Danio rerio: one gene and its partners. The protein of the gene in region 1 interacts with the protein of each later gene in a biochemical or structural test. Links are inferred from orthologs where the notes say so. Each region holds a gene or a part of one and is shown in the gene's direction. Other genes may lie near its edges.

Region 1 (6,145 bases):
AACGTATGTAGTTTTCCAGCAACCCACAGCCGCTAGATCACTGGTGATTGTCACAGTCCGCATAACAACATTGTTAGAGTAGTAAAATAAACATCTCCCAGTTTACAGTGCATGCATTATATGCAGCCTACAAACAACAGGCTATTATTTTACTTTGTTAACCTCTTGTTAATCTTCATACGTTTACTATCTTCACTAAGAACAGTTTGACTATATTTTTGTTTTCCTATTTTTTTTTCCAGAAATAATCTGTAAGTGTTAACGTAAAGTTATGTGTTACTCTCTAAAAAATACATAAAATTTCCTTTAAAAAGCAGAAAAATATTGTAATACCAAATTACAAGCAATAACTGTACATTTAATGTTAGAATTTTTATAGAACATATCTTTAAAACACCAGGTATTTCACTGTATAATGAAAAAACTGAAAAATTCCGTAAAAAATACAGACAATTACCAGTAAAATAACGTTTATTTTTTACAGTGCATGTTATACCATTTAATGGAACTTTAATTTTTTTGGCTTCAGTCATTTTTGGGGTACTCTTTTGAATCTGAAATCATTAAACAACTAATATCAAAATATATCGTTATCGTTTAATATGGAAAATAATTACAGAGATTGCATTTTGGCCATATCGCCCAGCTCTATTTGGAGTATGCCAATTTGATGGGTGAAGAACTATACACCTTTAAGACTTTAAGGCCCAGTTTCACAAGCAGGGCTTAGAGTAAGCCAGGACCATGGCTATTTAAGCCACATTTATTAAAATGGCCTTAGAAAAATATATTACTGGAGTGCGCCTGGAGACAAAAAAATGACACTGACAGATTTTAAGACATCTCTCTGAAAGTTATTTTGAGTTGAGACAGCTCAAACATGCAATTTAATCTCGACTAGCCTTAAACCTTGTTTGTGAAACTGACTCTATTCCCTTCTCAGATTCATGACTCTGTGACGTTCATTGAGAAATTGTTGCCACAAAAATAGTATTCTAAAGTAAGACCAACTATATTTATATGTCCGTGCAGTCGTGTCATGAGCGTTTTCGTGATGCTTCATACGAGCATTCGGATGATCCTTGAATGGACTTAGCCAGTGTTAGTCGTGTTGCACGCTGAGTGACGCATACATTACGAGAACGGCAGGATCTGAGTCACACTTTGGACAGTGAGGCACACTGACAACCCAAGTATTGTACGTAAAATAGGGGTAATTGACGTTAGTAGTACTACTGGCTCAGAGTCTTTGACTTTTGCACGTTATGTAGGTCAGCATGAGAGAAGTAACTAAAATGTCCAAAATGTTTAATATTAAATGGCCTTGAGGATTGCCTCACTGGCAGAATATAGCAGATGCATGTGCACGCTGTGCGAGAACAGGATCTTATTAGCGGTGAGGATTAGATTAGCGAGTATGGCAGCATTTTGCCACATCCCTCTTAGCTTGACTGCTGATTTAAAAATTTCCTAAAGCAAAGTCACGGCAGAGATCTTTGTCATTGCCGACCCTCCCCCAACATCACTGCCCCTTAAAAGCCAGTGACCCGAGCGGTTTGTCCTATGTGACCATTTCATGGTCGGCCTAATCAAATCAGAAGTAATGGAGAAATTAAGCTTAAGCATCTTTCTGCCAGCTCACTCTCTCCACCGTAGGGATCCCATCAAGAAATGGAGCCATTCTCAGAAGGTCACATCCACTGTCCAGTCAGCTGCCAATGACATTCCGTCATCTTATTGGCCAGGCTCGACGCTCCCCTCCCCCTTTTCTCTCCACTGTGCAAACGTGCTGTAAGTCACTCCAACATCGCTCCTCCTCCTGCATGCGAGGCTGTGCTCCCTGAGGATGTTCATTTGCTGCTCCTCTCCATCTCACTGTTACTGCCTTGGCTTTTTATTTTTTTGCCTTCCCCTCAATGTATTGGGTGACGTAGAGCACCCACGCCGAGGATGAGACAGAGAGAGAGACTCAACCCAACTCGACGTCCATGTGACAAACCCCACGCGCTGCAACAGCTTTATCCCTCCCTCCCTCCCCTCACAGCTCTCCTCCTCTTCCCGCGTTCTCCTCACAACTCGCTGCGTTGTTCAAACTGTGGCATTCTTCACCTTCCCTTTTGGGGGAACGCAGCAGTTGTGTGGTGTCTTCTTGGCGATGACCAAAAGGTCCCGAAAGCTGTTCCTTCACGGATGCATGCACTCGGCATGAGGCCTCCGTGCAAACATCTCCACCGTGACTCACAGCTGTGAAAGGTGGAGGGACGGATCTCGCAAGCCAGTGAAGCAGAAGACGAAAGGCTCTGAGGAAGACCGGAGCAGCGGTGAAGGAGAAGGGGGCGTGTGGACAAACTCGCTGGATGAAGGAAGCAGACTGGCTGTCCCTTCCCTGGCGTGATGGAGTGAGACGAGGAATGAGGGTGGATGGTGAGAGCGGGCAGCAGCAGCAGCAGTGGAGGGGCAGGAGGAGGAGGAGGTGGTGGTGGAGGAGCAGGAGGTGGCCGGAGAGGCAGGAGCAAGTATCGCTCGCGCCGGCGAGTCTCCGGCTCTTCGCTGGCTGATCGGCTCAGCTGCCACAGCGGCGAGAAAATGTCTCCCAGCATCAAGAAGTTGGACTGCTTCTCGCCCATGCTGTGCCACTGCAAAGTGGCCTGCACCAACAGCACCATCTCACTCATGTTCGGATGCAAGGTGGGTGGTGGAGCTGCTTCTCAGGTTCGCTTAATTCACAGGACAGGACAGTCTGTGAGAGTCTGTCCAGCTTTACATCAAGGTGTAGCCAAGAGTGGCAGCCAAAATGCTTGGTACTGCTGCCAGTTGGAACTCCCGAGGCACATGCAATCAACTTGATGAGATAAGAGTTCTCTTCGAGATCTAGCAGACTTCAGAAGTAGACTTATTCTTGCAGAGAGATCTGGCATAACACGTTCATGGACTGAATTTCTTTTAAGGCACACATAATTGAAAAGTTGATGAGATGAGAGGAGTTGTCTTCTAGATGTAAGAGAGTTGGCGTACAGCAGATTTATTGCCTTTTAGTCTCTTCTTAAACAATTTATGTTAGGTTAGGACAGCTAGGTTCTTTCTTTTAGGCTTTTAATTGTTTGTGTTTGTCTAAATGTATAGGATGATCAAGTGTTGAAATATAAGTAGGCCAGATTTGGCTCCCATGAACTAATAGCTCGTCTTTCTTTAGACAATTTAAGGGGTGTAGGGAACGGTGTGCTAATTAGGTTCTTTCATTTAGGTTTTTTTCTCGTTTGTGTTTGACTAAATGTATAGGACAGGGCTATTCAATTAGTTTGTCACGGGGGCCGGTTCATGAAAAGCATCCCAAATGAAGGGCCGGAGAGATATGACTTGCTTTATGAGTGATAACACAACTGCATATAAGAGCCCATATGCTGTTTATTTTCTCCTTAAGACACCCACGTTGGCTTTTTCTACATTAAAATATGAATATGTTGTATTTTGAAACTACATAATATCAGTGCACTGTACAATAGACTTTTCTTGTTTACAAACATGTTCAAATGTTGTATATCAGAGCACAGCAAAAGCAGTGCATTGCTCAAGTAGGCTTTTTCTACTTTAAGACACATTCATGTTTTATTTTTTTAAACTGCATCACAATTATGGTTGTACGATTATATAGTCTAAAGAATAATCATGGGTTCACGGTTATCACGTCTAATGTAAATTCAAGCTTTATATGAGGTAAGTAGCTATTTAGAATAACTGTTGTTGCAACACTATCTCACGGCAATTCGTAACTTTTTCATTTAGTGGCTAATTCGTATGAATTCATCCTTTCTAATTCGTACAATTTAGTACGATTTGCTTATCCCCCAATGACGGTTGGGGTTAGGGGTGGGGTTAGGTGCCACGCCTCCTTTTTAAGATCGTACCATTTCATACGACTGAACTCGTACGAATTCGTACGAATTAGCCACTAAACTGGGAAAACGTAAAATACTTACGTTTTCTCATGAGATCAGGCTCGTTGTTGCCTTCTGCGTTCATACATACAGCACAATCATTTTAATAATAACTCGTCTAACATATATGTTGTTAACATTGCACTGAAAGGCACGCACAACTCTCACCGTAAGATGTTTTCTACTGTGTGCACCCAGAAAGACGCAAGTGTGTTGCTGCGCTTGTGCGCACATATTGTCATATATTATTACATTAAAAATAACAAACTTGCAAGCTGAAAAGACTTGTTATGGGACTGGCCACTGCTATAGTTAATCCGGTGAGTGCGTATTAGCCTCGGTGTACATACATGGAACTTTAAACTAGTGCACAGTTGACAACTTGACATAACTTGGTTTAGTTGCAGCAGTTTCGTTTCGTTCCATGCAACAGAAATGCGGCGTTGACAAGCCTTTACGATTAATTAACTGTGACGAATTCAAGTGCAGTTAATAGTGAAATCGGCTAATCATTGCATCCTGCTTGCCCCACTTGCTTGGCGCACGTCACTTCATAACTATAGCGTCATTTTTCGAATTAACTACATTTATTTTTCATGTCTTATTTGCACTATTTGGAGGGCCAGAATAAATTGCCTCGGTGGCCAGGTTCGGCCCACGGGCTGCCAATTGAATAGCCCTGGTATAGGATGATCAAGTGTAGAAGTATAAGTAGGATCAGGGCATGACCCAGGCCAGACTTGGTTCCCATAAACTAATAGCTTGTCTTTCTTTAGACAATTTAAGGGGTATAGGGGAAGGTGTGTTAATCAAGTTCTTTCTTTTAGGCTTTTTCTTGTTTGTGTTTGACTAAATGGATAGGGTGGTCAAGTGTAGAAAGGTAAGTAGGATCAGGGCATGGCCCAGGCCAGAATTGGTTCCCATGAACCAACAGCTTGTCTTTCTCTAGACAATTTAAGGGCTATTGGGGAACATATCGTCAGATAGATAAGGTTCTATCTGCATTCTGAATGATTTTGAGATATTGAGCATCAAAGTTTTTGCATTCCATAGCAAACAGTATGTGTGTAACATTTTTTTTGTAAATAAAAAGTCTTAAAATGTAAACAACTTATAAAAAAACATCCCATAATGTAAATAAGTCATTGTCATTTAATAAGAATATGTTAATAACACAATTTTGACAAAAATGTCAGATGGAACTATATAATTCTAAGGTGACGATATGCTAATTAAGTTCTTTCTTTTGGGCGTTTACTTACTGTGTGTGTCTGTGTGTGTCTGTGTGTGTCTGTGTGTGTCTGTGTGTGTCTGTGTGTGTCTGTGTGTGTCTGTGTGTGTCTGTGTGTGTCTCTGTGTGTGTCTGTGTCTATGTCTGTGTGTGTGTGTGTGTGTGTGTGTGTGTGCGTGTGCGTGTGCGTGTGCGTGCGTCTAGATGTTTAGGTTGATCAAGTGTAGAAAGGTAAGTAGGATCAGGGCATGACCCAGGTCAGAACCAACATGAACCAACCATGAACCAACAGCTCTCAAATGTACCCAATGCACTACCATAACTCATAATAATATGAGCTCATAAAAGCTAATTACGGTCACACTTTACCATCATGTATTTACAAACATGAACTCATGATAACAATACATGTACAGCATTTTTGAAAGTTTTTTATAATTTATTTTTTAAGTTACTATAATTTTACATTTTTTAAGTTACTATAGTTAATCATTTGTCGCATTCATTGACTTTAACATTAACACAGATAAATAAATACTGTAATGTTCATTGTTTGTTCATGTTGTACAACTTCATTCCGAAGTCTTACCCTAATTGTTAAACAATTATTATTTTTAATAGTTCTAGATCAGATTCACTATATCAAAGCATGTCAAAACTTTCCAAAGATATTCTGTGAAAACTTCTTAACAACTGTAGAAGTGGCTGCTGGTTTTAATGCTGTTCTTTCCTTTTGGAGCTCTTTCTCTTTTAATCAGTCATTGGATTATCTCCGCTCTGACTGTAGTTAACACTCTGCTCCACAGTAATCACTCTCTCTGATGGAGAATGCACACATTTTGTTGTATCAGCTCAGGGTAAAGCCTGCTTGGGCTGTGAGAATGTGTCACAGTAATGCGTTGGCTCTGGCATTAACGGAGCTCAAGAACCTCCTCAGTAAACACTTACAGAAGAAGTGTATTGCTTGGTATTGTGCGAA
Region 2 (5,874 bases), on another chromosome or scaffold:
AGAGCTGACAGTATGCCATAAAGTAAAATGAGACGTATGGCACTGCAGGTGCTGTCATAATGAATGGTTTTGTCTTGAATGGCTCTCCTGGAAAGTGTGTAAGAGAAAAAATATATATGGATTTCTGACAGCATGACATGAGATTTACTGTACGCAGGTGGCAGATACAATAGATAATTATATGCAATAAAACACTTATAAATTTTGGTGTTCATTACTTTTATATTCTAAAGTATCGTCTGTTTATTGGAAGATATTACTTTTTAAAAAAATATTTAATCCAGTGTTAAATTTTCACTATTTACTTGTTGTGCGTTGCTGAGTGCTTTTATTTATTTTATCTGAACAAAACTGTTTAGTGAAAGTCCACTGTTGTAACAAAAACAAAAAAAAACAAAAAAAGAAAAAGAATTCAAACATTCTTTAAAATATCTTCTTTGGTGTTCCACAAAAGAAATAATATCATACACAACATTTGGTTAAACTCTAACTCTAAGTTTTAAAAAAAATCAATCTTGCAATACAGATATTTGTACGAGCTGCAGTTCATTTTAACACGGTAAACAATTTTAATAATGAAACACACGTTGAATCATCAGGCTGACCTCAGACAGCTTGTGGAGGGTCGTGCATTTTGAATCATTTCCTGTGTCTTTATAAAGCAACTAGAATGCAGACCTGCATTAATGCGATATGGAGAATGATTGAATATAGCCAGTTGTTCTTTTCGACACCTCTGTCTTGGACTTGCTGCGATTCCTGACCCTGAAAACAAATTTAAATCTAAAAAGGGGACAGTGTCTGGAAATACATGTGGAGGATTTGCTGTGCTGTCAGCTTTACATAAGAGTGGTAACAACAATACTGAAAACTAAAGTTCACCATGAGTTTAAGATGTAGTGTGTGTGTGTGTATACATATATGTTTTAGTGAAAAAAAAAGTATGTAACAAACCTAATTGATGCTATATTGTTTAGACAAAACTGTCCAGAATTTCTTTGCACTAGAAGGATCATTAGACGGAGAGCTGGATGGATCGAGAGATAAAAAGAGCTAAAGGATTATATGATTCCCTAGCGTTGCATAAAGTATAAAGCCAAAATAAGCACTTTTCGCCCTGGGGAAATGGGATGACAATTTTTTTCTAAATTACACTTATGCTAAATAACATACTTTTGCTTTGCATACTGACAAACAGATCGCATTCTCCAAAGCCATACAAAAGTGTGAATGTTCATGTTGAATGCACTGTCCATAAATGAGACAAAACCCCACCACTGTAGATAATGGCTCTCTTTCATACTGGAGGCACCTATTATTGAGACAAATTGGCATATCCTGTCACCTCTCATTCAAACATTTTAGAAAACCTTCAGATGAAACTTCATATTAAAGATTTGATATTATGTTTTATCTCTGCATGACAACCCATTCGCTTAAGACACAGTGAATGAGGGGTTATGCAACTCAATCAGTGCATCTATAATGCATTGACTGTAATCAATGTGCTAATTCAAACTTACTTCATGGCATTTTCTTTATTCAAACACTTTTTTAATCTCATGCAACCCAAATAGTTACAAAACAAAACTTTTAAATCTGTAAAAAAAAAAGAAAAAAAATCAGCGTACACCATTGCAAATTACCTTAAGGACAAATCTTTTACGCAAACATTACGGCATCAAAATGTTGATTTCACATCATAACTTTAGGATGAAAATAAGTGCCAGTGACGTAGACACATATCCATGTGTTTCAAATGCGCCCTGTTCCCTTCAGAGTCTACTCTCTTCGAGTGCTCCCCCTTTCAGACTGAACAGGGTGTAGTGATGCTCACTTTCGAATGGAATTCACTCATTATGAAGGCTGCTCGGTGTTGAGTCTCATGCCGCTGCGGAGCGCGCGCGCTAAACAGTGAACCGCCGGTTTGGTTAAAGACGCGCAGCCCGCGTGGGAACGGCACGGATTAGTTTGCACCGGCGAACTCCGCTCGCGCGTCAGCTAGACTTCTTACAGTTGTCACATTTTCTCTCGGACTACATTTTACCCGCACGCGCGCAAAATCTCAGCGTCTGTTCCTTTTATCCGCGCGCAGTGACGCCTCCTCGCTGTCATGTAGGGCTTCGTGTGAACGCTTTACCGTTGACCGATGGGACTCAAACAGAGGGTCAGTCAGTGCGAGGACGCAACGTGAAGAGGATCCGCCGTGTTAACAAGGAACGGATAATTTTGTAAACGAGATTAAAATTGTGGTAGTACTTTTGGAAAAGTTCAGTTCCAGCCGCAGGGGAGCAGGTCGAGACGCTTATCATATCTGGAAACACTGACTGGGTGTCGGGCGTGATTGGTGTCGTGATTGAAGCGCTTTACACCTGCCTCCCAGGACCTTAAGTAGTCAAACTCGACAGAAGATTGTTTATTGAGGATTAAGTGTCCACCGAATACCCCGAAACACAAGGATATGTCGCTTATATTAATAATAACTCCTCTGGAAGTGGGTGAAAATGAGGCAGCGATTCAAATGCGCGCATAATTCGCCCTGCTGATTTCCAGTTGTAAATGCTGCACTGATCATCCTCGGGGTGCAAATCTATTGTTTTTCGAGCAGAGGTCTGTCACCCCGGAGCAGAGCATCCGGACAGCTGCATCTGGAGCACGAGAGCGCTCTGCTGTTTGAAGGTTTCTGCAGAAAAACACACTGGAGCAATGAGTCGCATCCTCCATCCACAGGTACGACTATTATCCCATCAAAGCGTGTTTTAGCTTTACTGGAAACATGTTGTTTGTTATAAAAGCTACAAGAACTAAAACTCAAGAACATTTAATTGGTTAACTTTAATATGCTTATTAGTTAACTAGCTATGGTGTAAAAATGGTAGAAGACCGCATTGTGTTGTAAAACTATTGAAATTATGGGAGAAGAACATAAACATGTACATCATTATTATTAAAATCATGTTTATTGTTAAGTAGAGTTCCTAGAACCTTAAGTGCAAAGTGCCAGTGTGTTTTGGTCTCATTTAAAAAGTTAAATTGTTAATAGTTGTGCGTTCCGGTTTTTGTTGTGTCTTTAGTATTTGTAGCAATATTCTTTAATAGTGTGTTTTGTATTGTGTGAGTAACCCTGTGCTCTGTCACTTTGTTGTTGACAGTTACTATAGAATAGAGGTTAGTTTTTATTCAGCACATCGTGTTACTTTTCCATTGTATCACCCAACACCTGGGTTTGGTGCTAGCATCTTGTAAACAAAAAGATTTAATGCTTTAAGTATATTGGTATACTTACAGTCTAAATAATATATGCAGCTGTGAATATCATAAGTGACTGCAAAGCATTTTGTTCCTGGAAGTTGAACCAGATATTCAAAAACTTTTTTGTCGTTAAAACATTTCCAAATGTGTTTGGAATTTAATTAATTTCTTCTATTGAAAGTGACAGTATATTAAAAAGCTGTTTTTGTTCTAGTTTTACTGTGCTTTTTCTTTCACTTTTTTTTTTTTTTATCGCAGAGTAGCACTTAATGGGTGTCATTAAACTATTGCCTGACACTGAGATTTTAAGGGAAGCTGTGGAGGTAATTAATGACAATCCTTCCACGAGGGAGATCATTGCCAATGTGACTCAGCAGTGTGTGGGTGTGCTATTGAATTCTGTAGACAGTAAATACAAGCAGGGACAGGACACAATCCCCTGCCAGTCCTCAGCTGAGCTGCAAGACATTCTTTAAAGAATGTCAATTTCAGCTTATAATAGAAGCTTGGCACAGCATCACAAGCATATCATAGATTCGAAATAATGCGAAATGACATCACTTAAAGGTAAAGAGGAACAGAGCTGTTATTTTTAGCCTCAAATAGGATGCAGCGAGTTTATCAGTCTCTGCTCTGGACCGTGGCCCAGTCTGGCACCATTATGAAGTAATGCGCTGAAACTCTGACAGTCAAAACATACAAGCTTTCCGCTACCATTAATGTGCATTTTATCACTTTCAGCACTGTGGACAGCTGGAGCAGAGAGTGTTTTCCTCCGAAAAACCATTTGAGTGATGATTGATTTTATGAAAGTTTAGAAATACTGACTGAGTAAAGACACGGTAATGTGATTTTTGCTTTGCAGCTTTTCCAGAGTTGTGAAACGTCCCACGTGGCTGGCAGAGGTGCAGAAAAGCAATTAGGAATTCATACAAGCACTAATTGACTTATATTCATCTTTGCGTTGCATCAGCACATTGGTGAGCTTGCTGTGATCTGGCTGGGTATTTAAGTAAAGCGATATCTGCTTTTTACTCCTTAAACTGAAAGAATGATTCATTCCTGGTTTAGACAACATCAATTAAATTTTGCCACAATCCATCTGGGTGTTGTGGTGCTTTATAAACAACAATGGTAATTTTTCATAATTTAATCTTATATACAGTAATTTCCCAGTGGATGATAATCAGCGCTGTGCCTGCATCCTTTGATTTTATTAACATTTTTTTATTTAATTATTTTAATTAATAAAGACAGGGTTTTGTCTTATATGTGACAATGACCAAAAGGAGAAATTCTTCAGTTCTTCAAGATGACAAAATGAAAGACTGATGAAGTTATATGCGCACTTACTGTTGTTCACTTTCTTTTATTTCTGGTGGCTTTCCAATGGAGACATTGTGTGCTTATGCTCTAGTTTCAGGAAAACAATTGCTTGTCCCTCCTTCTCAATGACATCACACATGTAATTAAACGCAGTAACTAGTGATTGTTCAAAAAGTTACATCGTCGTCTGACATTACACATGCCATAAAAGATATCAAGCAGGGATTGTTCAGGAAATAAAGTACACTCAAAAAAATAAAGTACGCTGTTTGTTCACATAATTTATTTAAAATAAAACAACTGATTTCTTGAGTGTGTTTGGGGAAAACTTAATTGGTTTTTGTTCAATCCACTTAAATTGGTAAAAACTGATATGTTAACTAAATATCTTTATGTTGTCCCAACACAAATTAATTGTGTGCAACCCACCATTTTTTACTGTGTATAATTTGAGGTTATGTAATCATGACACAGCAAATATTTAGGAATTAAAATTAGTGACATATCAGTGAGCTTATTTTTTGGGGTGATAACAGCTTATTTTCAGTAGTAGGGCTGCACGATTAGGCATGGCCTGGTATAAGATTCTGACGGTATGATAACCTTGGATAAAAACATAACGATTTCACATTATTGTGATTACTGCTCTAAAATATATTCTTTTTAAATGTCTTGGTAAAAAACACAATATATTTTTAAACACAATATATATTTTACTTTGAGAAACATTTGAAATATTTTGTAGCAGTAAACATGGCAGACTGAATAATAAAAAATAAATCATTGACTGCTCTTTTCATTAGTTTCAAAACACAGATTTCTTTACAATTTAAAATGGCATATTTAGATATATTTTCTGCTGGAAATACTGTTGTCCTAAAAAAAACAAACAAAAAAAAGAAATGCTGAATAAAAAGTCTTACACATTAATTGAATGGTATAGCAGACAATTTTGGTGGTTTTAAAACCTCAAACTTTTCCTAATCACTTTATACCTTGAAAACGGTTTTCGTCCCATGTCTATGCACGATATTGGAAAAATCCAACATTGCAAGATTTTGTTGCTTTGCAATATATATTGCGATATGAGTACAGTTTCACCGAATGACTTTAATATCTCTATTGGGAAATAATTCATTAATTTAGACTGATTGGGATGCTTCTGTAGGGCAGGAAATCTTGCTTTAAATACAACAAATAAATTACAAAATATATACACACAATAGAGCAATGATTAAATAAATTTTATGGTTTTCTGGGGGAGTCTAACAGTATTCAGATTTAGAATTTAGAATA
Region 3 (4,181 bases), on another chromosome or scaffold:
TAGTTCTGCACGCTGTTTGTGTTGCTCTGCATTAACACATCCAAAATGCTAGCTGGCAGCAGGTTTTTAGGATCCTCTATAGAGGTTTTTGCAGGTGTTTTGTTTTTTATAAATGTTACCTTAATCTACAAGTAGATAAAACTCGCTCTTTCAGAGGCGGGAACTGGCAAACGTGCAACAACTGTAATCATAAGGTAAACACAAAACAAGTTTCCATCTGGAGCTCCTTCGAAGGAGTCAACGCTTGTAAACACTCGCTCCATTGGGCTCGCAGCTCTCAGTACTGCCCACACTCATCACAGCTACTAAGTTGACCAATCACAAAGCTTGCACTACGTGTGGTTACGATGCATAGTTCCATTTTTTGAGAGGTGCATGTCAGCGTTGGCATCAGCCACGGCGAGGGTTATGCAAACTGTGTGAAGGCTTTGCCGGATCATACGAGTGCGCTTTACACAGAAGTAAAAAATCAGCCTCGAGCCCTGACTCCACAGGCCAGGCTTTAGGTTGGGGCCTTGGTTGCACCATAATTGGGGCAACATCTCAGTCTTCCATTTTATCAAACTCGTATATTGTAGGTTTTTGAACCACACTTAGTCTGGCCTGTCGCCCAGAACCATTTTACCTTGGGAGATCCTACCAGGGACATTCAGCCCCCAACAACATGAGCCCTAAAAATATTTAGGCACTCAAACTCCTCCACCATAAGTCACTGCTCCTCCTCATTAAGAGAAGCCAGATGAGGTGACTCTGGCATCAACAATTGATACCTCCTGGCCACCTACTGTACCTGGGGAGGTGGGGGAGGCCCAGGACATGCTGTAGAGACTATTCTTCCTGACTAACACTTTAGTTAAATGTACAGCTGATAAGAAGAAAAACTGTTAAATCCAGCCTACACTAACCCACTTTCTATTCAGTTGCAAGACGGCACCAAACAACCAAGAACAGTGGCTTGGAGAAGCATATAAATATAGATCAAGATGATTTGAAGTACCCAGATGAGCATGTGTTACTGGTTTCAATGGTTGTTGTGTGGGAATAATATTCCTAGAAATGTTCCAGAGTGCGATGTAATAATAAAGATGAAATATTCATCCGTTCCTCTGCTTTTCTCTTTCTCAGGCAGTTTGCAGCCGCACTGGCTGATCTCTATGAAGCGGCTCGTCTGTGTCCCAGTAACCGAGAGATCAGACGTCTGCTGGCACGAGTGGAGGAGGAGTGCCAACACCTGCAGCGGCAGGGCTCTAAACACCCGACCTCTCATGGCAACCCCTCACACCACGAGGACGACAATGAGAACGACGACGAGGAAGATGATGATGAGGTTGAAGATGACGACCAAGACATTGAGAGTTTGGAGAAAAGCCCAGACAGTCTCAGCATAAACATGTTGCAGGCAGATGATGAGGAGGAGCGGCGTGAGCAAGAATCCTCTCGGCAGGACAAGAGGAAGGAGAGCTGGCATCAAAGCCGCACATTACCTGATTCTCTCTGCCTGGCGTTATCAGATGCCCAGTCTGCCATCTCCACTGCTGCCCCTGGACGGGTCGCACACAGGCGCCTCCCGTCCAGACAAGCTCAAAGCATGAAGAACCGAGAGTACAGCAGTTCACTACATGCTGAAGGCAGGACGCCACAGAGCGCCGGCTCCAGCCCGATGCCAAGCCGGCACCGACCAACCTCACTCAGAGCAGGGCCCTGCATTGACATTGGTGGCCTTGACAGAAGTCCACTCGGTGATGCCAGAGAGGGCGGCATTCAGTTCAGTCTCGCAGAGAAGGCAGAAATCAACATCGAGCCAAGAGAGTTTTGCAGGAGCAGCAGTGTAAGAGTCTCCAGCTCCTCCAGCGGGAATCTCACAGATACCAGCCGATTACGCAATTCCATGGCAAGCGCTCCAGATAGGCAATCTGAGCATAAACCACGGCCCTTCATGGGGGTCATTGACAAAACTGCCCGTTTCCAACAGCAGCAGCAGCAAAGTCATCACGGCAGCCTGGTGTCCAGTTACGGGTGGCCAGAAGGACTCGTAGGCCACAATGTAGGTGTTGTAGTGAATACGCACTCGCAGGGACTGACTAGTGACCTTCAATACTCTAAATCGAGTGCTTATCAGGAGCCCATCCACAATAGCACACTTACAACTGAATTTCATTCTGGAGCGGGATATAAGGACACGAACCCTCTCCAGCAGCACTACAATGACACCAAGCACAAGCAGGCCAGCTTGGCCCGGGACAACCCCATCCTGATCAGCTCCATCAAGCCCAAACGCTCCTTTATTGAGTCCAACGTGTAGCTACCAACTCATTCTTTACCTTAAGCACAAATTATATACAATCTTACGACATAAATGTAAGGGGGCTCAGTTGAACTAAACTGAAAGGATTTGTTCCAGGTAGGTGAACATAAGATTGCCTTGCATTTCTGTTTACAGCTTCAGAGGTATTTAAGCACATTTTCAATGCGCAACGCTGCATCTGCACATTATAGGAGAGTGGAAATATGATAGAGGTGGTTTATTAATGTATTAAGATACCTGACCTGGCTTTAGACTTCAATAAGGACATAGGACATCTACCAAAATGAAACACTGTCTCTTACAGTATGATTGTGGGCCAGTCCTGTGTATTCAGAAAGCATATGCTGTTTGAATGGTGATGAGTGTGTGAGTGTATGTATGTATGTGTGTGTTTCAAGGAGAAGCGTGTTGTATTTCTTCCTAAACTACTCACTGTTTGGATTAATTTATTTATGGCTTGGTTGTCTGATTAAAACAATATTATATTTTATATATTAGTTATTTTTGCACAGCTATATATTATGAAATACCACTATGATTGTGAGGACGACATGAACTGTATAAAGGAGACCAGGTTTACATGCATGTTATGGTGAACCATATTCAGGTGTCTATAAGGACATGGATGTTATTTCATTATTTGCAATTTATTTTATGTATAGGGCTGTTATGTATTGTATTTGAATATTTCAGCATCATATACAATAAACCCCAGTTTAAGACTTAGGTTACTGTTTTATTACATTTCTCTAGTGCCTTATTTTTATCCAAAGAGATTATTACCCATTCTTAAATGTTTATTAAGTAGTTTTTTACATTAGGAAGTAAACTGTCAGGTTTTTTTAATGTGATCCATATGGTGTCCATTAAATCATTCCTTTTCCTTCGGCTTAGTCCCTTTATTCATCAGGGGTTGCTACAGTGGAATGAACCGCCAACTTATCCAGCATATGTTTTACACAGCGGATGCTCTTCCTGCTGCAACACAGTACTGGGAAACATCCATACACACTTATTCACACACATACACTACGGTCAATTTAGTTCATTCAATTTACCTATAGCGCATGTCTTTGGACTGTGGGGGAAACTGGAGCACTCAACTCAGAAATGCCAATTGACCCAGCCGGACTAGAACCAGCAACCTTCTTCCTGTGAGGCAACAGTGCTAACCACTGAGTGCTTATTTATAAACTCTATTTTGCAACATCTCTTGAGATGACATAAGCCACTACAGAGGGTTACAGAGATGTCTTAAAAATATGACTATTTTACCTCAGTATATTCAATGGAGCTTTTGCGCTAGACTGCTGATTCTTACGGGCGCGTGCGAGTAAATGGCTTTTTGTCTTGTTTTACGCTTCAACAACTAAATGAATGACAAAGTCTATTTAACTGAACAAATTTAATTTACATTAGAACATCAAGGGACTGCATAAAATGGAAAAAAGTTCACATTAACTGTTCACCGGGAGTTTATCAGCATGGGAAGAAACACTAGCTCTGCATATACCCTATTATACATTGACGATCAACAATTTTGTTAATAAATCTAATTTATAAAGTCTAATTATCTAATAATACTAATTTATTAATTAAATATATTTAGTTTTTTTTAGGCCGTCATGGTGGCGCAGTGGGTAGCACGATCGCCTCAAAGCAAGAAGGTCGCTGGTTCGAGCCTCGGCTGGGTCAGTTAGCATTTCTGTGTAGAGTTTGTATGTTCTCCTCGTGGTCACGTGGGTTTCCTCCATGTGCTCCGGTTTCCCCCACATTCCAAATACATAAGTTATAAGTGAATTGGGTAAGCTAAAGTCTGTGTGTGAAGGAGTTTGTATGGATGTTTTCCAGTGATGGGTTGCAGCTGGAAGGGCAT
Region 4 (5,356 bases), on another chromosome or scaffold:
TTTGAACTTAGCCAATCAGGCTAATAAACTTGCTTAATTCATTAACTGCTTAAACTATTTACAGTGTACCTGGTTATAAGCCACTACAGTATGTAATTCAGACACACAGTTGTTGATCAGGTGAAATGAAAGCAGTGTTTATGTCCATGTTTTTTGGCTTGTAATTTCATGTAATTGCTTCAGAATTCACAATATCATAAAATCGTGTTGTATGTCATTGGGTCTGAATGATTTTCAAATAAACTTACACATGACGCACATGCCTATACGATCTTCTGACCATCAGAATTTCCCCATGTGTGCCCATCCTAAAGGTTTTAAACCTGATTTATACTTGTATTTAGCAGATTGAACTGATGATATCACATATAATTTCCAGGAAAAGCCCTTACAGAAAGCTCATTTCCTTCTTCTTTCTTTTAATTTAAGCATACATGGTTAGTAATCCCACGCACGTTACATGCCATCAGTCCACACCAACTATAACGCACAGCCTATAACCGACAGGGTGAAGACTGCAATTACCGAAGGTTATTAGCCATCGTTTGGTGACTGACTTTATGAAGTGACAATTACCCACTTGCCCATCATGAAAAAAATGACATTACATCACATTACCTCTGACATGTGGCTTGAGTTATTAATACCAGCTAATTTAATGACGAGTAGCCGCCGATCTGGTGAATTACAGCTTTCGATAAGCCAGTACAAGCCGGTTCGCAGAGATTCAGACTGTAGTGTATCATTTTAACTTTTAAACTCAATTACCCTCTATTACCACAGGAACACGGTGACACCAGTTGACCAAAAATGAATGGATCTTTCCAAACCTGATCATTTGTGCATCCTCCAATTTACAATGGAGATATTTTCCCTTTGACGGCTGAAAATTAAGTCCCCAGTGCTGTCAGTCAGATGTCAGATGTTTTGTAAATATTCCTTCTATTCTCTGTGCCATAGATTCCTATTATTATTGAATCAGAGCAGCTGTGATAGTAAGAGTATCATCTTTAAATATATTTTGGTATTCATTCCTCTTTTGTGTGTCTCTCATTGTGTTTTGCAGATACAGTTTCCATGAAGAAGATCCTGAGCCAGAAAGCAGCAACAACAAATGCTATGGATATCCTCAGCGCTGTAGATTTCTCCTTCACATAGCATTTCGAGTGGATCGCTGTATCATTTTTTAACTTACAAAACTGTTCTTCCCATAAGCGGCCATGAGCTCATATTGAAACAGGCGACAGGGAAAGACATCAGATGATGGGGGCACCTGGTGGGCCAGTTCTGGGTGGGTTTAGTTCCACCACATCCTCCTTAGACCTCGTTGGCTGGATGATCTGGCCTGGGAACACCACGGTCAGCCTGAACCAGAGCTTCTTTGGGACAGACTACAGCTTCAATCTGTCGTCCTCCTCTTCGTCTTCTCCTCATGGGGTGAAAAGGGAGGAGATGAAGGAGAAGAACTGGCCGGCCCTGCTGATTCTAGTGATTATCATTCTGACCATAGGAGGGAATATTTTGGTTATTTTGGCCGTGTCGCTGGAGAAAAAGCTGCAAAATGCAACAAACTTCTTCCTCCGCTCACTCGCAGTGGCAGACATGCTGGTTGGCATCTTGGTCATGCCAATATCTCTCATAAACATATTATATGGTAAGTTACCACATTAACTTTTTAAAAATAAATGACATGCAAAATTTGTTGTATTAGATTAAATATTTCTCAGTCAAGATAGAACCAGTGTTGGGTAAATTACTTTAAAATTACTTTAAAAAAGTAATAGATTACAAATTACTGACTACTTCTGGAAACTAACTACTTAATGTAAAAAGTAATCAGATTACTAATTACATTACTTTGAAGTTACTTTAAAAAATATATATATATATACCTATAAAAATACAAAATAAACTGCAGCTCTTATAGTATATCTTTTGCATAGATTATGATAGAGACATTTTTCTTTTTTTTCATTACTGATATGTGCAGGAACCACCTAAATTAATTATAGCAACCTAGACCACACAGAACCTAAGGGTACACTTTCAAATGGGGTTTGTTATAACACAGACAACATACACACATATTTGAATAACTTTCACCAGTGTTTTATGAAAATTCAAAGGGTTTTCTTAAAAATGATACCAAACTGTTGCATTAACACCTCTGCATGTGGATTTGGGAAACTTTTTTATTTGGGTAGGCAAAATCCAGGGAGGAACCTGGAAAAACTGGATAAATCTAACCACTGACATTCATAGTATGCAAAAGCACTGCAGTGTCTGTGTTTGTCTGAAGTAATTAGTCTACTGAAATGTGTAAATTCCATACAAAGCATGAAGCTGATTGGTCAGTTCTTCTCGCGTGACTCTTGGTTTTCAACTGATGCGTCTTGAAAATGCGAGCGCACGTACTATGTGCTCTGAATATGAATGCAAGATGCGCGCCTCCATTAGAATTAATGAAATTGTGGTGCGTTTTTGGATGCCATCAGGATTCACAACTTTGGTTTGATGCATTGTGGGTACCGTTTAAATAGGTTGGTCTATAGCCTAATGTGAAGTGACTTCTAAGTGTCTAATGAGATGCAAACTTTCAAATAATGCAGCACATCGCCTATAAAATGTAGCATCACCAGAAGTCACACTTTCCATAATATAACTTTAGTGGCATTTCCCTTTAAGACCCAGGGGCTTTTTCCACTGGTGTGAGGGTTTCTCCTCTAAATAACATGGCTCATTATAGAAATGACACCATAGAATATATGCCGGTTAAATAACACATTTAATTGGTCTCTTTCCTCCAAAACTCAAGAGATGATGACTTCTATTTAAAAAAAAAAAGATGAAGAAGAAAGTTAAGGGGTTTAGGTTGATTTAGTCGTTACATGAATGTAATTATGTATAGCACAGAGCAATGACAAAGTTAGAAAAGCCAAGAACCAGAGGTGGTGAGATTTAATAGCTTTATAGCAGGGTATAACATGAAACCTCTTTTCCCAGAACAAGACAAAGCAAAGCAAGCAAGAGAGAGTGAGGAGGTGGAGATATTTGGACAATCTCAAAAAGTTTTAGACTGCTATTAACAAACATATTTATTGTCATCCACTCATGATCAAATTAATTTTTCCACTTCCTAAAATTGTGAATCCCCAGATCTGGTTTTACAATTCTAAGAACCCTAAGCAAGAATATTCACCCTTGTGTATTACTTAGCCTACATGCAGCAACAAGCAGAGGACACTACTGTTTGATGAATACTGCTGAAAAAAAAAGGTTTAACATAATGCAGTTTTGAGGCTTTTTTAGCATTAGGCTGTCATTGAACAGACCAAAGACAGTTGATGTTGTCCATCCACAAGATGGTGACAGAGACCACATAATAAGCGCTTAGAAGATAAAACAGCATAATTTCTAACTACAGCTGATCAAATCATTATAAATCAGGTAAGTAATATTCTAAGTCTATCTCTCTCTTTTCTATGATGTACTGCTGTATTTATACAATGTAATTGTAGTGTATTGAGTGTGGGATGGGACTTGCTTATGAAGAATGTATGTATTTTATGCAGGCCCCTCTTTGTATAACCCTGAGTAACTTTTTCAGGTTATTGTGATATCCTGATTTCAACAGAGAAATACTGAGAAATCTCTATAGACTGATGGCATTTCATTCTTATAATCTTAAAATCGCCTATCTTGTCATCACTTTAGACAGTACGCCAGTGAATCATTAAAATACTAGCTCTAAAGTGGTGTGTGTGAAATAGCAAGAGCTTTTGCTGTTCTGGCATCAGCTGTAGATGTGAGGGAATGGCGGAGGTAATTCCTCATACCTAAGGATTTTTAAACTCTCCGTATTTGGTTTTTCTTTTTTTATATACATGATTATGCCATTAAACTGTTGTAAACACAATATCACATGAGTAGCAGTGCAAAATGGCTGTATATCAGCACCGGTGCCAACGCAAACCTCCCACCAGTGCCAATATACAGCCACATCGCACTGCTATTTCTGTCATATTTCTCATGTGTATATATACATACACACACAGGCATGCATATATTTGAGAAGTTGTTTATTTATATTTAGATATAAATTATATGTGTGTAAGAGACAAAAATTATTGACAATGTTAAAAAACAAAAACATATGTTTAAAAAACCTTATTTTGGATGCAGTTAATCTTTGGTAAACATTATTAACATAATATAATATAATATAATATAATATAATATAATATAATATAATATAATATAATATAATATAATATAATATAATATAATATAATATAATATAATGAAATGTAATGTAATGTAATGTAATGTAATATAATAAAATATAATATAATATAATATAATATAATATAATATAATATAATATAATATAATATAGTAACATATAATTGATACAAGAGGTAACATTGAAACCTCACCAGGTCATATTGCCACATATTGAAGACAAGCTGAATTGCTCATACACAGATCCGAACATTATTCTTTTTTAAATTATTTTGCAATCACACACTTTTTGAGTAGATCTATTTTAAATAACTGATTATTTTGCTACCATCAAAAGAGAAGCCATCTTGAATATGATTCATGTGTGTTAATGATTAATGTGTGGATATACTGTACTGCCTTTGCCATTTATTGTCACATGACCATCACTTCTCTGCCATTCACAAATTCTCTCCTGTGGCCTCATGGGATAGTACAGTGTCCATCGTCATTATATAGTGGCCTTAGTCATTATATCATCTTTGAGTCTTTGAGAGAAAGAAGACGGAGAGAGAGCGAGAGAGAGGCCATTGGGGGCACATTGAAAGAGACAGCAGCTTGTCTTGCATTGTGTTGCTCAGAAAACCACAGAAATATGGCCTGTGGCAGAATTGAGATGGTGCAGCCTCTGTGAGCTGCTCAGCTGTCTGCTGTGGAGTATTTCTGGCTCTCGATATCCGTACAGGGACCACACTGTCCATCTCTCCTAAGCCATGGGGAGCTCTGTTTAACCCACATGTCTTTTTTAGATATTTTTATATACAGTGCTCAGCATAAATGTGCACACCCCTCACTGATCTCTCTTTTGAATTTATATGTTTTATAGGATGCTTTAAAGTAATGTATTTAGATTAGTCTGCAGTACCAAAGCCAAAACAGGAAATAATCTTACAATAAAACTTAAGAGCCAAATGAGAGTTTTTCTTCAACTGCTTTGGCTCAATTCCCAGTTTAAATGTTTATTTTTCAAAACAGTAAGTTTAGGTCACTGAGCCATTTGCTTATTGTTCACATCAAATTGGCATTTATTATTGATTTAAACAAATTGCAATTTTAAAAGAGAGGGTATTTCACC
Region 5 (6,134 bases), on another chromosome or scaffold:
AATGAGTGCCAGCTACCAGCATTCAACAGAAGAAACAGAAACTCAAATATGTTTTGAACAAGGCTGAGTATAAATGATGGCAGCTTTTGGGTGATATATACCTTTAAAAAAACTCCCTGAGCCCATTTGACAGTTTTTTAAGTCTTCGGTGACAGAACTATTCTACTATTCATTCCTCACAGCAGCAAGCCTATAGCCATTATTGCCTCAATCCCTACCTGTTTAAAAGTTTATAAAGAGTTCTAGATTTTCATTTGGATTTTGTTCATTATCTTTTATAGATCTTTGTCTGTCTCCTCTCTTTCCAGCTGCAGCGCAACCTTGACAAAAGAAAGCTCTTATTTCAGACATGTTCGCCCCCAGTCTCTTTCCACTGCTTTTGAAGGTTGTACAGTCATTGACTCCTGATTTGTACAAATCTTGGAAATTGTCCAAAATGACCCACTGACCTTCATTTATCATGCTGCGACAAGAGCCCATCCGAATAAGGTTTTTTTAATGACGAATAAATCTGCCTTTACACTCTTACCGCTGCATCCAAAAAAGAGACTGCCTGATTCTGTTTGCCCAGTAATTCTCACATTTCCTCCAGTCTTGATGCACTTGGTGCCACCGTCATTCAAGGCCTCATTTCTGGCCTACAGTGCAGTCGGCACCATTATCCTAATAACTATAAGCCATTATCCAATCCCACACCCACAACCTTCGCACTACAATCACAATCTTTACTCTCTACACATAAAGAGCAGCCATCCTGTGTGCTTGCCCACCAATAATGCAGTGCTATCTTGTGAAATACTGCCCCCTTTTATTCTCTTTAGTGCCAACTGCATACAGAAAAGACAAGCATAGACAAAAACAAAAGCTAAGGCCAAAACAAGCTGCATTTCCTTATGGAGGTGGGCTATTTGAATAATTAAACAGTGGGATGTCAGTGCACGGTTGCCAGGGTAGTAAAGGTTGGTCAATGCAAACTGTTTAAACAAGAGCAAACACAATGTCTCCTGCATTACTAATGAGCTGAATTAAACAGCACAATCATTCTGACAGCACATACACACACATTCGCTGGAGAGTCAGCTAGACCCTTGGCTTTGTTGAGCAATTCTGTGCAAGGTAAAAGATGTGTTTTTCAGGTGATAACTATAAAGCATTCAGTGCTGCTGATGAAACTGGATTTCTAAAGCCTTCTGTTAAAAAATCGAGTGCCGGGAAAAACAGGCAGGTGGCGTAGTGGGAGTAATCATTTGCATTTTGCTTTCATACCAACAGAATATGAGCTCAAAGCATTAAGCACTTTTGAAAGCCAATTTTGAGTTTAAAATGCAGTTTAAATCATCTTAATGGCCATGTTTTTTTTGGTTTGTTTTTTACAGCTCCACCAGTCTTCATGACTGAGTGCAAAACCAGCTGCTTTCAAACAGTTTAATGTTCACACATCCCACAGCGATTATATTTTGATCAACGTGTTGAAATATTTTGATGGAAATTCACTTTCCAGTAAGTTAGCAGCATATTTCATCATCTCAGTCAAGAGATGCTAGATGTATAACCCATAATAAATAAATAGATAGTTTTAGTTTAGTATAAAAGATGCAGATTTAATGTAGGTTTTAGCCTATTTTACCAAAATTGTGATTAATCTAATGTTATCTCTCATGATTAGAAAGAACAGTCATCATTTCAAACTATGATAAATGCACAAAAAAATATAATAATAATAAACAAAATGTAAACATATTGAGTCGGTATTTTAACTTGACTGAACATCAAAATCCCACCAACTCCATTTTGCCCATTCGGAGTCCCTGGACTCTCTTGAAATCCCTATTATGACTGTGCTAAGAGAGGTGAATATTTATGCTCTTTGTGTAAACGCTTGCTTGTTTAATAGATCGTTGAGTAAAGTGCAGAGCTCTCACGACACAATCACGTTTGTCATTTTAATGTCGTGTTTACATTTTTCCAAAGAATGGCTATACACAAACTGGCCGTGATAGAAAGTGTCTGTGTCTTTTTGACAGAGCCACACACAGGCTGCATAGTGTGTGCAGCTCGCGCTATGCAGCAGTCCCTCGGGTAGGCTGTTGCGATGAACTGGATGTCAACAGATGCATAAGGGGCTGTCGAAGTTTGAGATCTGCAGCACACCGGTAAGCCTGCTGTCGCCACTGGGGGGCGATCTAGGACTTTCCGCGCTGCGCAAACGTGCCTCTCGCGGCGGAGCGCAGCTCCCCAATAACACGAGCACAATGGTCAACGGGCGAGACTGAGCGGCAGACAGATGCGCGCTGCGCATACCCACCTAAGGCTATTTCACATGGCATCCGAAAACTTTGATACATCTCGATTCTGACGCCGCTCGTGTGATATATCGAGCCACGCAGCATGCTCTCGGCAGCAGCACCTGATCTTTGGTGAGTGTGAGTCCAGGCTTAATGCAGCGGTGCATGTTTTTTGGGGAGGGGGAGATGGGCAGGTGATGAGAGATCCTGTTGAATAAAGAGCCAACGGCGAGCCGCGGCCAAAACTGTCATCCCTCGAATGCGATCTCACCTGACTGTTGAGGTGTCATGTTCTGCGTTTGGCTACGTCGATGGATATCTGGATTCCCAGTGCAAGAGGGAAATTTGGACAAACCTGGGATTTACATCCTCAGCCGTCTCTATCTTGTTGCATTGAGGGTGGAAGCGGAGAAGACCTCCTCGTATCATTCCCTACGTAAGTGGCTCGAATGATGGAAGGTGGAGTGCATGAGAAGGATGTTAAATTGCGTGCGATGACTGATTATTATTAATTGTCAGGGGCTTTTGGATCAGTAATATCACGCGCTGTTTCCTGTTTTCCTGCCTGGCTGGCCTGTATCAATAAGGATGCGCCCCGTTATTGTCATTGTTAATATTTGTATTCTTATGCAGGCAGCACAAAGATATTGAGTTAGGTCCCTGGTTACTTTTTTCAAAATGTTCTGCTCGTGTTTGTGTCCATCACAGTGTGCCTGAGCTAAATTATGCTGAGCACTTTGCATTCTACAACACGTTTTTCTTGTCTTTACAGCTGTTGCTGGTGTCAAGCGGATCCAGTGATTCATTCATAGCCGCTGAAGGGGCAGAGGACGGAACAAACCTACAGCCCACCCCTCCCTCGCAGCCAAGATGGGAACCAGTGATTTCATAGACGAATAAAGTCGGTGAGCGAACACCTCGGATAACGGAAAGGAGCCGCGCTCTCCTCATGCATCCAGCTTTCTGTTGGATAAGGCAGCCGCGCGCGCCACGCGCATGGATTGTAGAACTGTTGGACACATTTTACTCATGATTACGATGATGATGATGATGTCACCAGAAGCACGTAGCTTCGTTACAGTTGTAAAGTCCGATTACAACAAGTAAAAGTGCACTGAAAGAGCTGAAAGCACTTTCGAAGGCAGCGGACCTACACTGCCAGTCAAGCGCATTTATGAACTTGCCGAGCCCGTCTATCGCTCAGCCTCGTTCTCCATCACTCTGAACGCCTCGTAGTTTAAGAAGATGGAGTTTGCTATGGTGGGCGCGGACAGTGGGGGCTGCAACACCCACCTGCCCTATGGATATGCCCAGGCTCGCGCCCGGGAGAGAGAGCGCGAGAGGGAGAGGCATTCTCGCGCAGCGGCCGCGGCAGCAGCTGAAGCTGGAGCGGTCGGAGAGGGAGGTGGGTCCACTGGCCATCCCCACAACCACCCGCATCAGAGTCGCGCCGCCTCTTCGACAAATGCCAACAACAGTAGCGCCGGGACCGCCTCGCGCCCCTCCTCCTCCTCCTCCTCACAACAGCCGCAACAGCAGCAGCAGCAGCAACACCACGAGCCACCACAGCAACTTCTCAGAGAGCGAAAAAAGCAAAGAGGCGTCGCGCGCTGGAGACGGAACCGCGCGGCTCTCGGCGGGGATCTACGCCAATCAGAGTTGGCGCTCCTAGGATCCGAGGAGGACATTATGATCGAGGAGGAGGAGGAGGCGGAGGGCGAGGAGGAAGAGGAGGACAGGAAAAGCAAGAGGTCCAGTTTTGTCTATAACATGGATGATGAGGAGGAGACGGTGTCGTTAACGGACAGACGTCCTCAGTCAGGGTATGAAAACGTTTACAATGAGTACGGCTGCTGCGAGAGAGTTGTCATCAACGTGTCGGGCTTAAAGTTTGAAACTCAGCTGAAGACTCTCGCGCAGTTCCCGGACACTCTCCTGGGAGACCCCGAGAAAAGAAGCAGGTACTTCGACCCTTTGCGTAACGAATACTTCTTTGACAGAAACCGACCGAGCTTCGACGCCATTCTGTACTTCTATCAGTCAGGGGGGCGCTTAAAGAGACCCGTCAATGTGCCGTTTGACATCTTTTCCGAGGAGGTCAAGTTCTATGAACTCGGGGATGAGGCAATGCTCAAGTTCCGCGAGGATGAGGGCTTTGTGAAGGAGGAGGAGAAGCCGCTGCCCGAGGACGAGTTCAAGCGTCAGATCTGGCTGCTCTTCGAGTACCCGGAGAGTTCAAGTCCAGCCAGAGGGATCGCGGTCGTGTCAGTGCTGGTCATCGTCATATCCATAGTCATTTTTTGTTTAGAAACATTGCCAGAATTCAGGGACGACAAAGAATTCCTCATCCCAGGTAAAAACTCCACGCAGGCAGACAATGGATTTACGCCATTCAACGACCCCTTTTTCATCGTGGAGACAGTGTGCATCATCTGGTTCTCGTTTGAGATCATCGTGCGCTTCTTCGCCAGCCCCAGTAAAGCTGATTTCTTTAAAAACGTTATGAACACCATAGACATCGTCTCTATTTTGCCTTATTTCATAACCCTGGGCACAGATCTCGCACAGCAGCAAGGCAACGGGCAACAGGCTATGAGTTTCGCCATCCTGAGAATAATACGACTCGTCCGGGTGTTCAGGATCTTCAAACTGTCTCGGCACTCCAAAGGTCTCCAGATCCTCGGGCACACTTTACGCGCGAGCATGCGAGAGCTGGCGCTGCTCATCTTCTTCCTCGTCATCGGCGTCATCCTGTTCTCCAGCGCGGTGTACTTCGCAGAGGCGGACGAGCCCACGTCACAGTTCACCAGCATCCCAGATGCGTTTTGGTGGGCTGTGGTGACCATGACCACGGTGGGCTACGGTGACATGAAGCCCATCACGGTCGGGGGCAAAATCGTGGGCTCGCTGTGCGCCATCGCCGGCGTCCTGACCATTGCGCTTCCAGTCCCCGTCATCGTGTCTAACTTCAACTACTTCTACCACCGGGAGACTGATAACGAGGACCAGGCGCCCGCCGTGGAACAACCCCCACCGGGTTGCCCCTACTTTCCGGATTTCCTGAGAAAATTCAAGGGGTCCCCATCGGGCTCATCTTTAGGTGACAAGGCTGCGGAGTACATGGAGATGGAGGAGGGCGTGACGGAATCTCTGTGCGGGGGTGACACGCAGAGCCCGAGCAGAGGGAACGGTACTGACTTAGGCGGGAAAAACAGTTCACATTCACGAACCCTACAGACAGATGTATGATTATGGAAGAACGATGACCTTTCATCATGATGACTGCACAAATGAATCAGTTAACAGCACACACATGCACAACTTGAAGACACACACAGTACGCGCGTGCGCAGACACACTGTCTCACACACATTAAGTTCTGGACCTGAGCTGAAACTTTTTTGCAATGTGGCTGGCTACTTTTGTAGAGAAACATACCCTGTAATCACATGACAGGCAACGCAAAAATCACCAGCTTTACGTGACGTGGAGAGGTGTCTCTATCTGCCCGCCTGTTCAGTTCAGTTGACAGAACCGAACGACTCCCGGTTCATTAAATGAAGGAACTTGCATAGGCACTTTATGAGTTACATTTGTCAGTAATTGTAGGAAAAAGAGGCGAGTTCTTATCTAATGCTATTATGCAATAACGTTTAAATCGTTTGCACTATCATCAATTATGTTCTAGTCTCCCACTTTAATGCAGAGGAAAGAAACACTGAGCTAGAGAGAGAAACGACCCCATAGCAATCATGTTTTAAATTGCATTTATAATTAATTCCAAACAATAGCAAACATACGCTGTCCACGACCAATTCAGCTAACAGGAAGGAATTTGTTTCACTATTA
Region 6 (4,440 bases), on another chromosome or scaffold:
TTCAAATCTTGTCCAATTAACTGAGTTTACCACTGGTGAACTCCAATTAAGCTGCTGAAACATCTGAAGAAACAGTGGAAACAGAATGTACCCAAGCTTAATTTAGAGCTTCACGGCAAAGGCTGTGAATACTTATTTTCACATTGTCATTATGGGATATTGTGTGTAGAGTTCTGAGGAAATAAATTAATTTAATCCAAAAATGTGGAAAAGGTGAAGCGCCTTTATTACTTTCCATATCCACTGTATGACAGATGGTTTCTTTGAACTCTCTTCTGTTTCGTTACTTGTTTTTAAAGGAATAGCTAACTCAAAGATAACAATACTTAATTTACTTCCTGTCATCACAGTCAAAGGACAACTGCTATTATAAAAGAAGACTATTTTGAATGAATTTATACTGAAATTCATTAAAAAAGAAAGAAAAAAATGAACGCATGAATGTCCAACCCCTAAATATAAACGGAACTTAAAGGGTTAGTTCAACTACAAATGAAAATTGTATCACAATCTACTTACTCTTGTGCTATTCCAAATGTATAAATGTTTAGTTAAATCGAAAATATTTTTCTATTCCATCTTTAAAAATATAATCACAGAAAAAAACAGATGATCAGTATTAATCAAGTGGTTTAATTGAGTGAAAAAAAGACAATTTGGGGTGAACTATCCTGATCACATGCAAACATACAAATCAGATCCTTTCAATTAGCCCCTAATTTGCCAGAATTTTAAACGTTGAAAACTTGTTGTGAGATTTTGTTGTCTGTCTTATTTGACATTCTGGCCCCATCATCCCACTCTGTGTGCTTGTTTACCTTTACGGTTGTGTGCGTGTTTTGCAATTCTCACCTTTCCTAGTTTCCTGGTTTTTATTTGCATGTTGTCAAGCAAAATGTCTGAGGTGTTAAAGTTTCAGTTGCGCTGACGTTCTCTTTGCTCTGCTCGTAGATCCGATGTTTGCGAGGGCATCAGGGCTTACCAAACCAACACACTTTTGATGGGATTCATATAGTCAATCACTATGGTGGAGACAATGAATCCTACCAGTCCTCTGATGAAGATGGAGTGAAGCTGTCACCCCACCTGACCACTCATCAGGATAGAGGCCGGATCACACTACATCCAAACCTGGAGGACTCCGAAAGTGAGGGTGATGAGGAAGGAGATGCCCTACGACTTACCGTGCCCTCAAATGTCAGCCATAAGACAACAACAGTGTGAAACTGTGAAGGCCTGAACGGAGGGAGAGCTTGTCCATGAGCTCGTCCTTTCAATGTGAACATGGGACTTGAACTTGAAAAGCCATCGTTCATCTTTACTAATGGAATCGTATCTCTTAAGGTCATGGTTTACATCTGCATTTGTTTTGTTTTTGCCAAAATACATCAGATGTCTGTCCTGGCAGTAGTTTTTAATTTTAGCCGCGATAAAGAGGGCAAATGTGTCTGTCTGTTAAGGCACTTTGAGATCCTTCCAATTAAGCAGAAGTCATCATTTTTGTGGCAGGATATTCCCAGAACTTTAAAAGGGGGTGTTTTTAATACTCCAAGGTTTTTTTTCATATGAAGAGAAGCAACTTGGTATAGCCTATAGTGTTTTAAGCATTAAGATTTTGCATCGTTATAGATTTTATTTTTTAAATCATCTTTTTTTTTTTTTTTTTTTCATACACACATTGAGAGACCAGAGAGCGCATAACTTTTAGGGAAACATATTAAAGAAAGCAACACTATCATCTTTAAATTGTTTCATTAATAGCACGGTGTCATATCTTACGTTAGCAGGCCTTTTTTTCTGGCATGAATTGTTATTGGTCATGAATTGTGAGTCATTGAACCAGCGTCTATGTAAATATGTATATGTTTAGATTATTTGCCCATCTCCATTATTACTTGAACATGTGTAATCAATGGATATCATGTCTATATTGTAACACATTGTATAGTTAAGTTGAAAGGGATGTATTACTGAATTTGGGAGGATTTGGAGGAAACAACTTTTCTTTAATGTACTGTAGCTTTGCTGTAGTCAAGTTCTCCATTTCACAGACTGGAGATTTGTTTTTGTGCCTGGAAAGATTCTACAAAATTCTTGCTGATTTTCAATATTTTCTACAATATGTGGTATGCTGTGCATGTTATATATCAAGAATATCTCCAAACTGATGGAAGTGGAGGCAGAGAGGTGTGTTCATCAGAACAGTGTTCTCATTTCTCTGGCCTTTTCTGGTCCGTTTTTCTTTTTACATCTTTATTTGTACCAGCTTGCTTCTGAATCAGTTTGCACTTTGCACAGATGACATGCATATGGCTTCACAATAATGAACAATATTATGTTTCGCTGTTTACAGCGATATATTTAATTTAGCTTCACCCTCCATTTTTTTTTGTTCTTTTTTGGTTAGTTTTTGTGAGCCAGTGGTTCTCAAAGTATGAAGTGATTTCATTTCATACTGCTATTTAGACACCTGAGTGTAAGCCTTAAACCTATCATGGTGGATGCAAATTTGGTGCACTGTTTGCCCATCGTTTAAAAACGGCCTGTCCACCTACAAAACAAAGACTTTTGCGAAAGGAATTGCAAAAGACAAAACACTAAGTGATTAAAGCGTTATTTATTTACTTTAGAAAGATCGAGTGTTTTACAGTGAATTCCTGTGGAATGTTCCTGTGGGCATTTGAGGCTTTACAGACAGTTGACAATACAATAAAAGTGTCTTTAAGACGATGGACATGTTGATTCAGAACACAATAAAATATCATTTGATAGTGGCCAACGACTGTCATGTTTTGTACGTTTGTTCCACGCAACAGCTAAATAAAACTGATTGATCAAAACTGAATTCATCTTTTTGCTTTTTTTTTTTTACATTAAAAATGTATCATTCACTTGATAGTAACTGTAATCAATTAATTAATAGTAATTAATTAAAACGCGCACTAATCTTTGAGCTAGTTATTTTATTATTTCAATCATCATCATTATTTATTTTTTACATTTTGACTAACGCAATTTTACAAAACTGTAATAAAAAGCTTCTTAAGGAAAAGCCCTTCTAACATCAGATTGCTATTGACAAGTAGCATTTTCAGGAAGTTTTTTTTTATGTGTGCGCGCGCCTATTCTCGCGCTCAGACTAGCACAAGATGAAATGAGATGTTATGGGCTCTGCGCTCTTTGAATTCAACCGAAACACCGCGACTGCACTAAAATCATCTTAACTCGTATTGTTTTCTGGTGAGTACCGTAATTTCAGTCGGCTTATGAGCCCTCGTTAAATTTAAAGTCATTTGGTGTAAACCGTAATTCTAAAATCTGAGTTTCGCTAAGCACAATCACAGTTCGCTTGTCTCCAGTTGAGCATGACGTTTCATGTACTTAGACATATAACCTCATTATATCATTTATCTTTCCATTGTGCCAGTGCAATTTGTAAATGTTTTTTTTTTGCAACTCTTGTTTTTTTCTTTGATGCCATTTAATAATTTGTCAACTATATATATTTACGAAAATTTGAGAAGAACATTGCGGCATTAATATCTTGGGATGGCTATAACATGTTTGGAAAAGGTAGCCTATAGCCAATTAATTGTTTCAAAGCCTATGTAATTATTCTAATCCCATGTAGTGGAATAAAACCACAGAAAACACAGCTACAGAAAAAAGGAAGCAGTAAGACGGTCGGAATTGGTATTGTTGTTTTTATTCACATTTGCTTATATTGTTCTGAGAGTTACCCTGTCTATAATGATACACAACATTCTTCTGTGGAAACGACGTTTTAATTTTGTTATTGAAATTAGGCTACTCATTTCGCTTTCAGCTTTTAAGTAAATATTCTGCAATGCATTATACATGTCTATCTCGTTGCGGAAGGGTTAATATGCTGTAACTGCATATGTCTAGTAATCAGTCTCAAAGTAAATGTGAGATAATGTTGTAAAATCAGTAAAGATTTTTTCCTAGTGCCCTTCATTATCTCTGTCCTACTGTATCTGCCGGATGCCCTGATGTGGTGTCTAATCGAAGGGGGCACATTGCGCTTTGATTTCCTGCGCTTCTCTTTTGGCCAGTAGCCTACTGATGGATCCTGCACTTTGCGATTGCATGCATCAGTTTATCAGATATTCTGTATCGTGCTAATTTTTATAAAGCTATACAAACTACAACTACAAATAAATCAAACATCTACACCCGTAAAAAAAGAATTGAAAACTTGAAGCGGTAACTCATAAACTTATAGCCTTTTTTTTTTTTTGCTTTTTCTTTCTCAATGATAGCTAGACGCTAATGCGCTCGATGTGAGTGAAGTGAAGCGATTAATTTGAGACTGGCTGAGTGGCTGTCACGAGTCAAAGACAGGTGAGGCTAGACTGATGGACTGCGTGGCTCTACGGGCTTCCACTGATTGTCTGGCGCACGAGCTGAATGCGTGTC

Evidence for each region.
Region 2: the proteins of dlg1b (region 1) and crhr1 form a complex in vitro, tested with the Homo sapiens proteins (3 studies listed by BioGRID and IntAct, with this or other methods). The link is inferred for Danio rerio from reciprocal best matches to the Homo sapiens genes DLG1 and CRHR1.
Region 3: the proteins of dlg1b (region 1) and tanc1a interact in a test that uses a peptide from one of them, tested with the Homo sapiens proteins (2 studies listed by IntAct, with this or other methods). The link is inferred for Danio rerio from reciprocal best matches to the Homo sapiens genes DLG1 and TANC1.
Region 4: the proteins of dlg1b (region 1) and htr2cl1 interact in a test that uses a peptide from one of them, tested with the Homo sapiens proteins (2 studies listed by IntAct, with this or other methods). The link is inferred for Danio rerio from reciprocal best matches to the Homo sapiens genes DLG1 and HTR2C.
Region 5: the proteins of dlg1b (region 1) and kcna4 interact in a biophysical measurement, tested with the Homo sapiens proteins (2 studies listed by IntAct, with this or other methods). The link is inferred for Danio rerio from reciprocal best matches to the Homo sapiens genes DLG1 and KCNA4.
Region 6: the proteins of dlg1b (region 1) and evi5b interact in a test that uses a peptide from one of them, tested with the Homo sapiens proteins (2 studies listed by IntAct, with this or other methods). The link is inferred for Danio rerio from reciprocal best matches to the Homo sapiens genes DLG1 and EVI5.

What each region holds. Positions count from the first base shown.
Region 1 is NC_133177.1:5,302,325-5,308,469, reverse strand, and holds the start of dlg1b (discs large homolog 1-like protein), read left to right. Parts: upstream 1-2,586; coding exon 2,587-2,688; intron 2,689-6,145. UniProt on the Homo sapiens protein: Essential multidomain scaffolding protein required for normal development. Recruits channels, receptors and signaling molecules to discrete plasma membrane domains in polarized cells.
Region 2 is NC_133178.1:20,402,861-20,408,734, forward strand, and holds the start of crhr1 (corticotropin-releasing factor receptor 1), read left to right. Parts: upstream 1-1,852; 5' UTR 1,853-2,706; coding exon 2,707-2,730; intron 2,731-5,874.
Region 3 is NC_133181.1:12,998,516-13,002,696, reverse strand, and holds the end of tanc1a (protein TANC1), read left to right. Parts: intron 1-1,125; coding exon 1,126-2,302; 3' UTR 2,303-3,031; downstream 3,032-4,181. UniProt on the Homo sapiens protein: May be a scaffold component in the postsynaptic density.
Region 4 is NC_133182.1:23,440,365-23,445,720, forward strand, and holds part of htr2cl1 (5-hydroxytryptamine (serotonin) receptor 2C, G protein-coupled-like 1), read left to right. Parts: intron 1-1,066; 5' UTR 1,067-1,260; coding exon 1,261-1,654; intron 1,655-5,356. UniProt on the Homo sapiens protein: G-protein coupled receptor for 5-hydroxytryptamine (serotonin).
Region 5 is NC_133182.1:32,645,078-32,651,211, reverse strand, and holds the start of kcna4 (potassium voltage-gated channel subfamily A member 4), read left to right. Parts: upstream 1-2,242; 5' UTR 2,243-2,417; exon of another isoform or gene 2,418-2,721; intron 2,722-3,057; 5' UTR 3,058-3,530; coding exon 3,531-5,534; 3' UTR 5,535-6,134. UniProt on the Homo sapiens protein: Voltage-gated potassium channel that mediates transmembrane potassium transport in excitable membranes. Forms tetrameric potassium-selective channels through which potassium ions pass in accordance with their electrochemical gradient.
Region 6 is NC_133181.1:31,512,874-31,517,313, reverse strand, and holds the end of evi5b (ecotropic viral integration site 5 protein homolog), read left to right. Parts: intron 1-919; coding exon of another isoform or gene 920-928; exon of another isoform or gene 929-951; coding exon 952-1,224; 3' UTR 1,225-2,845; downstream 2,846-4,440. UniProt on the Homo sapiens protein: Functions as a regulator of cell cycle progression by stabilizing the FBXO5 protein and promoting cyclin-A accumulation during interphase. May play a role in cytokinesis.